Linked DNA regions of Drosophila melanogaster. The protein of the gene in region 1 purifies or fractionates together with the protein of each later gene. This does not show direct contact. Each region holds a gene or a part of one and is shown on either strand. Other genes may lie near its edges.

Evidence for each region.
Region 2: the proteins of ZIPIC (region 1) and eEF1alpha1 purify together in Drosophila melanogaster (affinity purification with western blotting, with the first as the bait; one study listed by BioGRID). This does not show direct contact.

Annotation. Positions count from the first base shown.
Region 1 is NT_033777.3:30,034,624-30,038,888, reverse strand, and holds ZIPIC (Zinc-finger protein interacting with CP190), read left to right. Parts: upstream 1-2,018; 5' UTR 2,019-2,087; coding exon 2,088-3,461; 3' UTR 3,462-3,649; downstream 3,650-4,265. Other genes in the region: janA (janus A), read left to right, coding at 1-26; janB (janus B), read left to right, coding at 251-302, 361-516, 574-698, 760-849; ocn (ocnus), read left to right, coding at 1,244-1,454, 1,509-1,633, 1,689-1,799. UniProt on the Drosophila melanogaster protein: Insulator DNA-binding protein. Recruits Cp190 and cooperatively binds to chromatin promoter regions to exert transcriptional regulator and chromatin insulator functions.
Region 2 is NT_033778.4:11,889,304-11,896,173, reverse strand, and holds eEF1alpha1 (eukaryotic translation elongation factor 1 alpha 1), read right to left. Parts: upstream 5,040-6,870; 5' UTR 4,930-5,039; intron 4,779-4,929; exon of another isoform or gene 4,709-4,778; intron 4,053-4,708; exon of another isoform or gene 3,990-4,052; intron 3,052-3,989; exon of another isoform or gene 2,979-3,051; intron 2,633-2,978; exon of another isoform or gene 2,620-2,632; 5' UTR 2,600-2,619; coding exon 1,208-2,599; 3' UTR 654-1,207; downstream 1-653. Other genes in the region: MCPH1 (microcephalin), read left to right, coding at 1-49; ERp60 (endoplasmic reticulum p60), read left to right, coding at 5,355-5,503, 6,785-6,870. UniProt on the Drosophila melanogaster protein: This protein promotes the GTP-dependent binding of aminoacyl-tRNA to the A-site of ribosomes during protein biosynthesis.

The DNA.
Region 1 (4,265 bases):
TCGAAATCTCCGATGAGGGATATTAGCTGCAATCAACGAGAGAAGACTCCACATAAGCACACTGACATGAATTTATACCATTGGCTTTGATCCTGTGTGCCATGATTTTATTGGAAATGGCATTTAAAATTGAGAAATGCTCTGAAAGGCAGTTAGTCTGTAGCTTTGCAACTGCTCGCACTAAACCTTTTCGGATCTAAATTAATCAGTTTGTACACAAATTTCGTTTCTTTTCCTTTGGTTAAATAAAATGAAAATGTTCAAGTCATTGCGTCTGCTTCCTCATATTGTTTCTCCGTTTCGTAAGGCTTAGGAATATTCAATATTAAGATTTACAAGCCCTAATATACTTGGTTTTAGAAAAATGTTACTCAACCGATTTGATAAGTTTGGTAGGCGTTCCCCGGGTCAAGATAACCAAGGGTCAGAATCGTTATTTGTTGGTGAATATTCATACGCATGGCTTCACGAAGTATGGAAGAGTTATTGTCCGTGGCGCCGATGTTGACAATCACTGTGAGTTTCCACTGCTGGACGCTTAACCTTGAGCAGTCTTACAAATCCTTCTTTCAGTGGCGGTCTTCGACTCGATTTTGGAGGAGCTGGAACCCGAGGGCATATGTGCCAAAATCCTCGGTGGTGGAAGGATTCTCAACGAGGCAGAAAATAAAAAAATTAAGATCTATGGCACCTCCAGGGTAAGTAGAGGATCCTTGGTCCTTGAAGCACCGGCTAATGGTTCTTGATGGGTCTCCCTAGACTTTCGGCGGTGCTGATCACACAAGGACAAGGAATATACTTCAAGCGTGGACCACTTATAAGGACTTTAAGATAACCGTTAAACAATAAAGTTGCATAAATTTCGAAAATGGAAATTCAGTACTAATAAAAAGAAAATAGAATATAAAAGTAGCGCTCTTTCAATATTATTAAGGGGTAATCGAACAGGCGATTGTAATTGGCGGAATATGGTTGATATTTCCATTTCTGGAGAGAGTAGAAAGAAGAGTAATTTTGCATTTATAGTTTAGTTCATACAAAAATTTCTTTCACAAGATACAAGGGCTTAGTACTTTTTGAATGATCACATGTGCTCCGATTTTCGTGTCAGTCTTGAATTTAGCATACGACCGGAAGGCTTCTGACAAAATCAGTCTAGCTGGAGCCTTGCTACCGTTCATACCAGTTTCTTTTCGGAATATTTCATCTAAATTCCAGTGCGTTTTCCTAAAATTTTTCCAAAATGAAAACCTTGAATCTTTTGGCACCTGTTTCACAATTGTTGAAGCCCCTTCGAAGGCAAAGTTCTTCGCGCGTAAACGCCCTTTTGATAAATGTTCCTAGAGTTCAGCTTTCTAAAGGCAAGAACAAGTACCTTTTGATGATGATTCACATGCACGGTTTAACTAGGTTCGGCAGGACCATTGTAAGAGGATCCGCCTCCAAGGACCACGGTTAGTTCTAATAATCAGTATAGCTAATACGTGTTCTAATCGTTCTGTCGCCAGAGGAAATCTTTGAGGAAATCCAAAAGGAGATGGACAAAATTGGAATTTGCGCCAAATGCCTGGGTGGAGGGTTCATCAGCAACAAGGAGGACAAGAAAGTAATGAAAATTTACGGGTGCTGCAAGGTAAGTGGATGAAGTTGGCTACGATCAACCTGATTACTAAAGAGACTGCCTGCAGACTTTTGGGGAGGCGCCGCACGGCAGGACGAAGGACATACTGCTGTCTTGGACCAAATTCCAGCATTACAACATCATCTTGCCCAAAAAGAATCTGAACGCGTATCAGTGAAGGCGTTTGAAAGCTTGTTTTATTTTTCCTAACTGCCCTGTTGGCAATTTATAATACAACAAAAAATTAGTAAATACATGGCTACATATCGATTTGTTTTTTCGCTGGGTGTTACAAATTTTCAGCTTTTGATTTTGAGTTTCAGATCTGCTTTGTTGGTTAGCAGCCAAAGTTCAAATTTGGAAATTGAACCAGATCACATCGTCGATAACCGATAGCTGTGCAATCGGAGCCTTCTTCAGGGCACGGTCACACTGCCCCGAAAGTGTAAATAAATTTCAATCAAATATGAATTGCTGCATTTGTCAATTCTCGGTACGCGTACCGAAGGACATTCACACCGATACCGTCGGACATCCGCCGGTGCTGATCAGCGAACTGGTACTGCAGTGCACCCGGGGCACGAATTACGTCCTCACGGAGGAATCGTCGACGATCTGCAAGAAGTGCTGCGAGAAGCTCGCCAGATACCACAAGTCCATACAAATAGCGCGCAAGCTGCGAGGGGAGATCCTGGAACTGATCCACAGTCCCTACATGTCCAAGGACCACAAGCAGACCTCCTACAAAGAGGACGATCTCGACCGAGAGACCACCATAAGCAAATTCGATGGGAATATTGAGGAGGCACAGCAACAGGACGAGGAGGAGCAGGAACTGGAGAGCGTGGGCACCACCGTCACCCTGGTCGGTCCCGCCGGCATCGTGGAGGAAGTGGCCGAAGAGGAGCACACCTTCATTATCAAACAATCAGAGGAGGAGGATGAGTTCCACTCCGTAGACTTAGAGCTAGATATCGACAACGAGATTATCATTAACGAAGAGGAAGCCCACGAGGTAGAGGAGGTGGCCCACGAGATAGAGGAGGTGGCCCACGAGATAGAGGAGGAGGATCTGTTGCCACATGACAAGCAAGAGGCCCAGGAGGAAGACTTTTTTAAGGAAGATACCATGAGTGACTTTGACGAACATCTGGACGGCGCAATAGAGTACATAATATCCGATGGCGAGGACCAGGAGCAGGACAACGAAAGCTCCGGCGAATACACGGTCAACATACAATGCCCCAGCTGCCCGGAGAAGTTCAGCAGCCGGCGCGCTTACAATGTCCACACGAAACGCGAGCACTTTCCCGGCTACGTCTGTGATCAGTGCGGCAAGACGCTGCAATCGTACTCCGGGTTCATAGGGCACCTGCAGAACCACGAGCCCGTGAAGCAGTTCGCCTGCCCAGTGTGCCCGGAACGCTTTAGCCGCAAGTTCCGGCTGAAGCACCACATGGCCTGGCACTCCGGCGAAACGCCATACCAGTGCGATGTCTGCTCCAAGCGATTCGTTCACAAGGTGGCCCTGTACAAGCACAAGATGATCCACGACAGCGAGACCAAACGGCTGGAGTGCCAGGTGTGCGGCTTCAAGACCCGGACCAAGGCTCACTTGGAGCGGCACATGCGATCCCACACGGGGGACAAGCCCTTCGCCTGCCCGGTGTGCAACAAGCGCTTCTCCCAGATGTACAACATGAAGGCCCATCTGCGGGAGCACGAGAGTCCCGGAACCAACCGCCATCGCCGCTTCCACTGCTCCAAGTGCACGCATACTTTCATCAACGAGCAGAACTATGATGCCCACGTTCAGAGAGACGACTGCACGCCAGTTTAGCCCACTATATTGAATATATATAATAGATAATTATATATTGTGTAAGGCCCAACCCATCATCGACCATCATCGTGATCACCACCCAACCGAATGCAAGCGAAATCATTTGGATCATTACGTTCTATCCATGTACTTTTTTATTAAATCTATATGCATTTTGCTCACAAATAAAATATGTTTGATATAATAAATTTATCCGTTACTTGCATATTTCTGCGGTTATTTCAGTTTTCTTAAAAAAATATGTATAGTAAGTGTGTGTGTATGCATTAACTTATTTGAATAAATCAATCGATCGACCTCGTCCGTTCCGGCCAAGGGCCAATAAACCACCCACCCATTGTATTCCAGTATTGGTCGCTGCTGGACTGATCGAGCCCCAAATGAAATGTGCCTAATGGTAGATCGGTAGATGCAATTGACGCAATTACAATACATTGTATAAATACATAAAGTTAAGTGTGTATGCTGTGCTATAGATATACAAAAATAAAACAGATTATCTTTTGATTTTTTGTCGAGTTGAATAGAACTTTGTTAATATCATCATATCATCATCATAAAATGCACATTACAAAAATATTAACAAAATTTATTGCAGGCAGTCCGTAGTTAGTAAAAGGTAACAAACAAATCCCAATCGAGGTAAACCCATAAATCTTCCTAATAATGTGATTTTGTGCAGTAGTTCCTAAAGATCTCAGTCCCTGGCTGCGGGACTGAAACGCTTTTCGGACTCTGAACGTACGGCCGCCAAGGTGTGAACATAAAGAGGATCGTTCTCTCCTACCAATAGCTCCGAAT
Region 2 (6,870 bases), on another chromosome or scaffold:
AAGGCACCTTCACGACTTCGTCGATCCACCGTTTGTGCTGGACAAATAGAGATCAGTGGGTGCATCCACTTCACTTTACTAAATATTTAAGCTAGGACACACAGAGTACCATTTTCCCACACTGTTTCACCTTTTTGTGCAAATTACTCCAATGTAAATATAGTTATATTTAAATCCATATATGTATTTTACGATCTTAGTTTATTTTCTAGTACATTTTTTAATTTGTTTTTATACAGATTTTACGAAGGAAATAATATATCCCATAACTTTAAACAGAAATTATAAAAAAACACTTGTTCCAACTTCGTTCGTTATTATTTAAATAAATAAATCAATGCATTTTTCTCTATTTGCGATGAGAAATAAAAGCCCCCCCCCCCCCCTCAAATACAATAAAAAATATTCATTATTCTTCAGATGCAATTGCTTGCTTTATTTAAACGATTGAGGTATTTGTTGTCAGATTCAATTGTTGTACTCTTCGACTAGCTCTTGTTTGTACTTTGTGGCATCGACGATAAGTGAACTTGGAGTTAGGGACGATCGATCATGGCGCTGAAAATCGGGAGGCAACAAGCAAAGAGAGTGCTCTTTTACGGGCTGGGTGGTAAAAACAAAAGAAATACAAAAATAGGGTTTTTATTTTTTTTGTAAATATAGTTATCGCTTCTATTCTGGTTCTTTTCTTGTGTACAAAGTAGTGTGTGCAAAAGTAGGGTAAGATAAATGATACATATCAAAGTATAAAGGTTAATTTAAACGATATCATAAATGCTACAGAGGATTCCTATATATGATATGATAAAACGAAGTCAACTCCGTGCATCATACCATATTTAGTAAACTAAAGATCGACGGGGAAGTGGATGAGGAGTGGATGCATAAATGCAAGTGTTTTCCCAGTGTGCACTCTTATCCTTGGGATCCACCGTTTCCCAATTTAGGCGGCCTCGTCTGCATTTAGCATTCGTATCCGTCGAAACTCCTTTCGATGGAAGAAATTAAACTTATGCTTCTGCTGAAACATCATCTTATCGGTCATCTTGCGCAGGACAGGTGTTGGTGTTATACTACTATTGTGTTCGCTGCTGCTGTTGCTGGTATTATTGAGTGGTGTTGTTGGCTGCATTATGATGTTGGTTATATGCTTGTTGTTGCTGCTACTACTGCGTGTTGTTGTTGTTGTTGAGTGGAAGCAAACCAGCTACTTCTTGCCCTTGGTGGCCTTCTCGGCGGCCTTGGTGACCTTGCCACCGGAGGCATCCTTGAAGTTGACAGCCTTAATGACACCGACAGCCACGGTCTGCCTCATGTCACGCACAGCGAAGCGACCCAGAGGGGGGAACTCCTGGAAGGCCTCCACGCACAGGGGCTTAGAGGGCACCAGGTTGACGATGGCAGCATCGCCAGACTTGATGAACTTGGGGTTCTCCTCGGTGGTCTTGCCGGAACGACGGTCGACCTTCTCCTTGATCTCAGCGAACTTGCAAGCAATGTGAGCGGTGTGGCAATCCAACACGGGGGTGTAGCCGTTGGCAATCTGACCGGGGTGGTTCAGCACGATGACCTGGGCGGTGAAGTCGGCGGCTCCCTTGGGGGGGTTAGCCTTGGAGTCACCGGCAACGTAGCCACGACGCAGCTCCTTCACGGACACGTTCTTGACGTTGAAGCCAACGTTGTCTCCGGGAACGGCCTCCTGCAGGGCCTCGTGGTGCATCTCCACGGACTTGACCTCAGTGGTGATGTTAGCAGGGGCGAAGACCACAACGGTACCGGGCTTCAGCACACCAGTCTCCACACGACCCACGGGTACTGTTCCAATACCGCCAATTTTGTACACATCCTGCAGGGGCAGACGCAGGGCCTTGTCGGTGGGACGGGCTGGGGGAAGGATGGCATCGAGGGCATCGATCAGGGTCTTGCCGTCAGCGTTACCCTCCTTGCGCTCCACCTTCCATCCCTTGAACCAGGGCATGTTGGTAGAGGGTTCCAACATGTTGTCGCCGTGCCATCCGGAAATGGGCACGAAGGCAACGGCGGCTGGGTTGTAGCCGATCTTCTTGATGTAAGAGGACACTTCCTTCTTGATTTCCTCATAACGGGCCTCGCTGTATGGTGGCTCGGAGGAGTCCATCTTGTTCACACCAACGATCAGCTGCTTCACACCCAGGGTGAAGGCGAGCAGGGCGTGCTCGCGGGTCTGGCCGTTCTTCGAGATACCTGCCTCGAATTCTCCGGTTCCGGCGGCGACAATCAGCACGGCGCAATCGGCCTGCGAGGTACCAGTGATCATGTTCTTGATGAAATCCCTGTGTCCGGGGGCATCAATGATGGTCACGTAGTACTTGGCAGTTTCGAACTTCCACAGGGCGATATCGATGGTGATACCACGCTCGCGCTCAGCCTTCAACTTATCCAAAACCCAGGCGTACTTGAAGGATCCCTTTCCCATCTCCTGGGCCTCCTTCTCGAACTTCTCGATGGTACGCTTGTCGATACCACCGCACTTGTAGATCAAGTGTCCGGTGGTGGTCGACTTACCGGAATCGACGTGTCCGATCACGACAATGTTAATGTGAATCTTTTCCTTGCCCATGTTGGATGATTACACTATGGCTGTTGTGTGTATTCGAGTGTTGGATTGACGGAACGTTGGAACATTGGAAGGTTGCAGGGTTCGGCGGGTTGGCGAGCAAGAGAGGTTGGAATAAACAAAGGGTAAAACAATTCGTTAGCATTCGGTGGGATTACAACTACAATTATTAGTGGGTATAACACTTTCTCATTTCCCTAGCGTACGTTCGACTTTTGTTTGCATGCGCGAGCACAACCTAACCTCAAACTCTTGCAGCCGTACAAAACGTGTTTTTTGAGGTTAGGTCCAGTGCCCGCATGTAAGGGTGTGGGTAAAACGAGTGGGGCGCAACTACAGAAAAGAGCGTGCAAATAAAATTCCATATGGAAACTCGATTTTGTTTCAGTGATTTTGGTATTTTTGCTTTCGTCAACTGTCTTCAGTAGCAGAACTGAAAAATCATCATCATGTTAAATCGAAGAGTCCAAAGGAAAATTCCAGCAAATTTAATTCGCAAATACACATGTGCTTATCTGCCTATGCGTGTGTATATCTATGCCTGTGTATTTGTGTGACGCTGTTGCCGGCCGGAGGAAAAGTAAGAGAGGAATAGAGAGAGAGAGAGACCAAAATGGCGGATGTGCATTAGTGTGCGTGTGTGACTTGTACAAATGCAAGCGATCTCGCCGCGGTGGCACAATTGGTAATTGGAAAGAAATGAAAAAGAGAGGGGCACACAACGAATTATTCAAGAACGTAGTGCAGCGGCAGCCATTTTACCAAAACCAATTATGGAGTCGGTTGGAAATGGCGAAATAGCTGATGCGAGTGCCATTTCACCAGATATGCTAATGGGCTGGAAACCCAAAAAAGCACATTTTTTCGCTTGTTGCCAGGCGAATTTTTTTCGCCCACTTGACTCACGCCACTGGGTCGCCATTTTAGAATTCCATGCCGCAAAAAGAAAGAATAAGGAATATCTATAGGTCATGACAAAGGCAAGAGAGAAAGCACGTTTTTTTTTCTCGGTTAATGAGCACATCTGGTGGATGACCTCTGTGTCCGGCGTGGGCGTGGCAAAGTAATTACACACTAAGTGCACCATATTGCAGGGCGAAAATGCGGCCGGAAAAGCCGGAAAATTATTTTGAGAATGCTGGGAACTTTAACTGGGAACGCCAGTTAAAATTTTTGCCTTTGCAGACTTGCCACGTGTTTGCTTCTATGGCCACCTTTCACTTTGGAAAACCGCAGTTAGAGGTTATCTCCGGGTTTATTACACACACACAGGAAAAACACTGGAAATATGCACAAATTCGGCGTCTCAGCTGCATATTTGTTTATAAATTGTTTTCTGGCTGCAGTCCCGTTGCAGAAATTACTTAATTATAGCCTCGCAGGTAAAACTTACTCTCGAATAAGCTGAATGAGAAATCACGAAGTCTAAGCGGCGACGGATTCGAACAAAGTGAACGAGCGTTCGGCAGAGCTCAGCACAGGAAGCCTCGTTTGACACATGGTGTGACCGAAGCTACGCAACTGTCAAAAGAGCAGAAACCGTGTTCTCACTGCGGTGTTTCCACTACGCGCGAATGAAGCACTTCATTTTATTGAAATTTAAGTGATTGAAAGTGGCAAAATACAATAACCTAACGATTGAGGGATTTAAAAAACCTTGTTTGCTCGACATTGTTTTTATATGAAAAACTAAATAATCAGTGATTCCAAAAATATTTTCTACAAAACGATGTCTATAATTTCTATACGTAATATTGGAACACATATCTCTTAATATTTAAAAACTATAACAATTGCATTAGTAGTCCGCATTTTGAACTTTTAGACTAGAACCTGAACTTTAATTTGTATGTGAACCCTAACGTAATAGAACTTTAAATAACAATAGAAGCTTGAGATCGTTTAAATTTATGTAATACGTTTCATTTATTTATACATTTTTTGGCGTCCGTTGCTACAACTAAAATATGCTACAAATAAAACTATAAGTAATTTGGTATTGTATCAATTTATACAATATTGTAAAAATTTATAACTTAAGATCTCACGTTTTAATACTTTTTCTTCTGGAATTCATCAGAATGCTAATATTTATTTGAATTTGTAACTTACTGCTTAATATTTTTTGTTAGACTATTTTTTCACTCAGTTTTCACTTGTACTCAATAAATTTATTCATTGTGCATAGAACAAAAGTTGTTAGCCTGCCCCTTATATAGGACGCAATTAAAAGTTCCTAAGTGTTTTCCTAATTTTGTGAAATTAATTAATTAGTTATTAATAATATGATTATTGTTATGCTTGCGAAATCAGTTAACAATAAATGCAATTACCATCTTTTATGAAATGATAATTTGACAAAATTTTATTATAAATCGGTATCAATTAAATTAATTTAAATCTAGATCTCAACTTTTCTGTGTGACTGGAAAGAATTATAGCTAAAGCATTTAAAACCCACACATATAGACATTAGTCATTAATAAATGATGAGCCATCTTTATTTATTGTTTACATATGCAGGAAAGCTCACAACTGAGAGCTTTTTCCAACTTTAGACATTTTCGGCCTAGCCCCACCTGGCCACACTACGACGAAACAGAATAAGAAGCGACGTGGCGAAAGAGGCAAAAAGCGAATTCAATCGTTGAAAAATACCGAACCGGTCCGGTACTCAGTTTTTGTTGTAGAAGTAGGCGTTCGACGGCCTAGTTGAACTTGAATTATTCACCGATATCGCTTCAAGTGAACCCAAATAATGATGTGGCGCCTTGCTGGAGTGCTCCTACTAGGCTTCATCGCCATCTCGTCCGGAGCGGAGCAGGATGTCCTGGAACTGGGGGACGACGACTTTGCCACCACCCTAAAACAACACGAGACGACGCTGGTCATGTTCTACGCCCCCTGGTGAGTTAGTGAGTGGGCGTGGCCGGGCGCCATCCTACAACAAATGCATTGCGTGTGCGATTCGCGTATAATCCGCTTGTTGCGTCCGCAACTTAATTCGATTCCCAATGCCCAGTGCCGACCGATGCCCGATTTTCCGGCCATCGCAAGCGCAAAGTACACGTCAGCGTTTGCCTTGCTTTTGCCGGCAAATAAAGAAGGAACGAGTGACGGAACGAAACGAGACGCAAAGAGAGGGGCAATGATGATATGCCAGTATTGGTGCCGTCGGCCATTTTAGAGCGCGGGGTGCCAAAGTGCCTAGTTGGTACAATTTCCGTGCAATTCCTGCTCCACTTGTCCACTGGCTAATGATAGTGAGCAGGCATAGGGGCCCCAGTGTACATAGCGCATCTTTTATTATAGTTTCTTATGCCTATGCATTATACCCATAATCCCAGGAATGTGTAATTCTAAGGGTTAACTTAGATTTAGCTTGAAACTGGTTATCATAGTCTGAAACACTCACAGTTCTCATACAAATGTAATTTCCCAACAGTTTACACCAACCATATTAAAACTTCAATTTTAATTGCCTGCCTACTCACAAAAGTTATGCTGATTGTGCTATAAATTTCTCATGTCAGTAGACACATTTTTAACTTCCATCGTAATCCACACTGAACACAATAACCTTTTAATACATTTTTGTTTAGTACATAACACATATTTACTGTGCCTATTTACTCTCTTTTGAGCCATTTGTTTGCCCATTATCAGGGGTAAACTATAAGCTCACACTTGGACAATGAACTAGGTAAATTATTAGCGTTTTTTTTGCCGGCCGGCTTTCGAAATCCCCAAAGAGCTGTTGAACTACTTGGCATGGAGACTTGATTCCCTCATGACGAACCTTATCAGTATTCAAGCATAAATACACAGGGATGAAGTTGAAAAAGTTGTACACTGCAATAAAACTGCTCTTTTCATTATAACATAGTTAACTTAAGGCATCACTTATCTTTATCAAAAATGAATTATTATCTGCACTGCTAAGAGTGCAGACTATACTCTGCTGTTTCAAATAAGTACCAAGTCGTTTTTCTCTCTGTATGCCTAATGGGCACTTGTACTTGTGTGATAAGACAGTTGATAATTCCAGCACCCTTACTTTAATTACAAGCTAGTTTTTTGGGAACTTGTCTTCCCGTTGCCTTGATAACAAATGATGAATTAGATAGTATTGTTACCAACATAATGTTTAAGTGACGTGTCCTAACAGAGTGTTTTTTCCTGTTTAAGGTGCGGCCACTGCAAGCGATTGAAGCCCGAGTACGCCAAGGCGGCGGAGATCGTGAAAGACGATGATCCGCCAATCAAACTGGCCA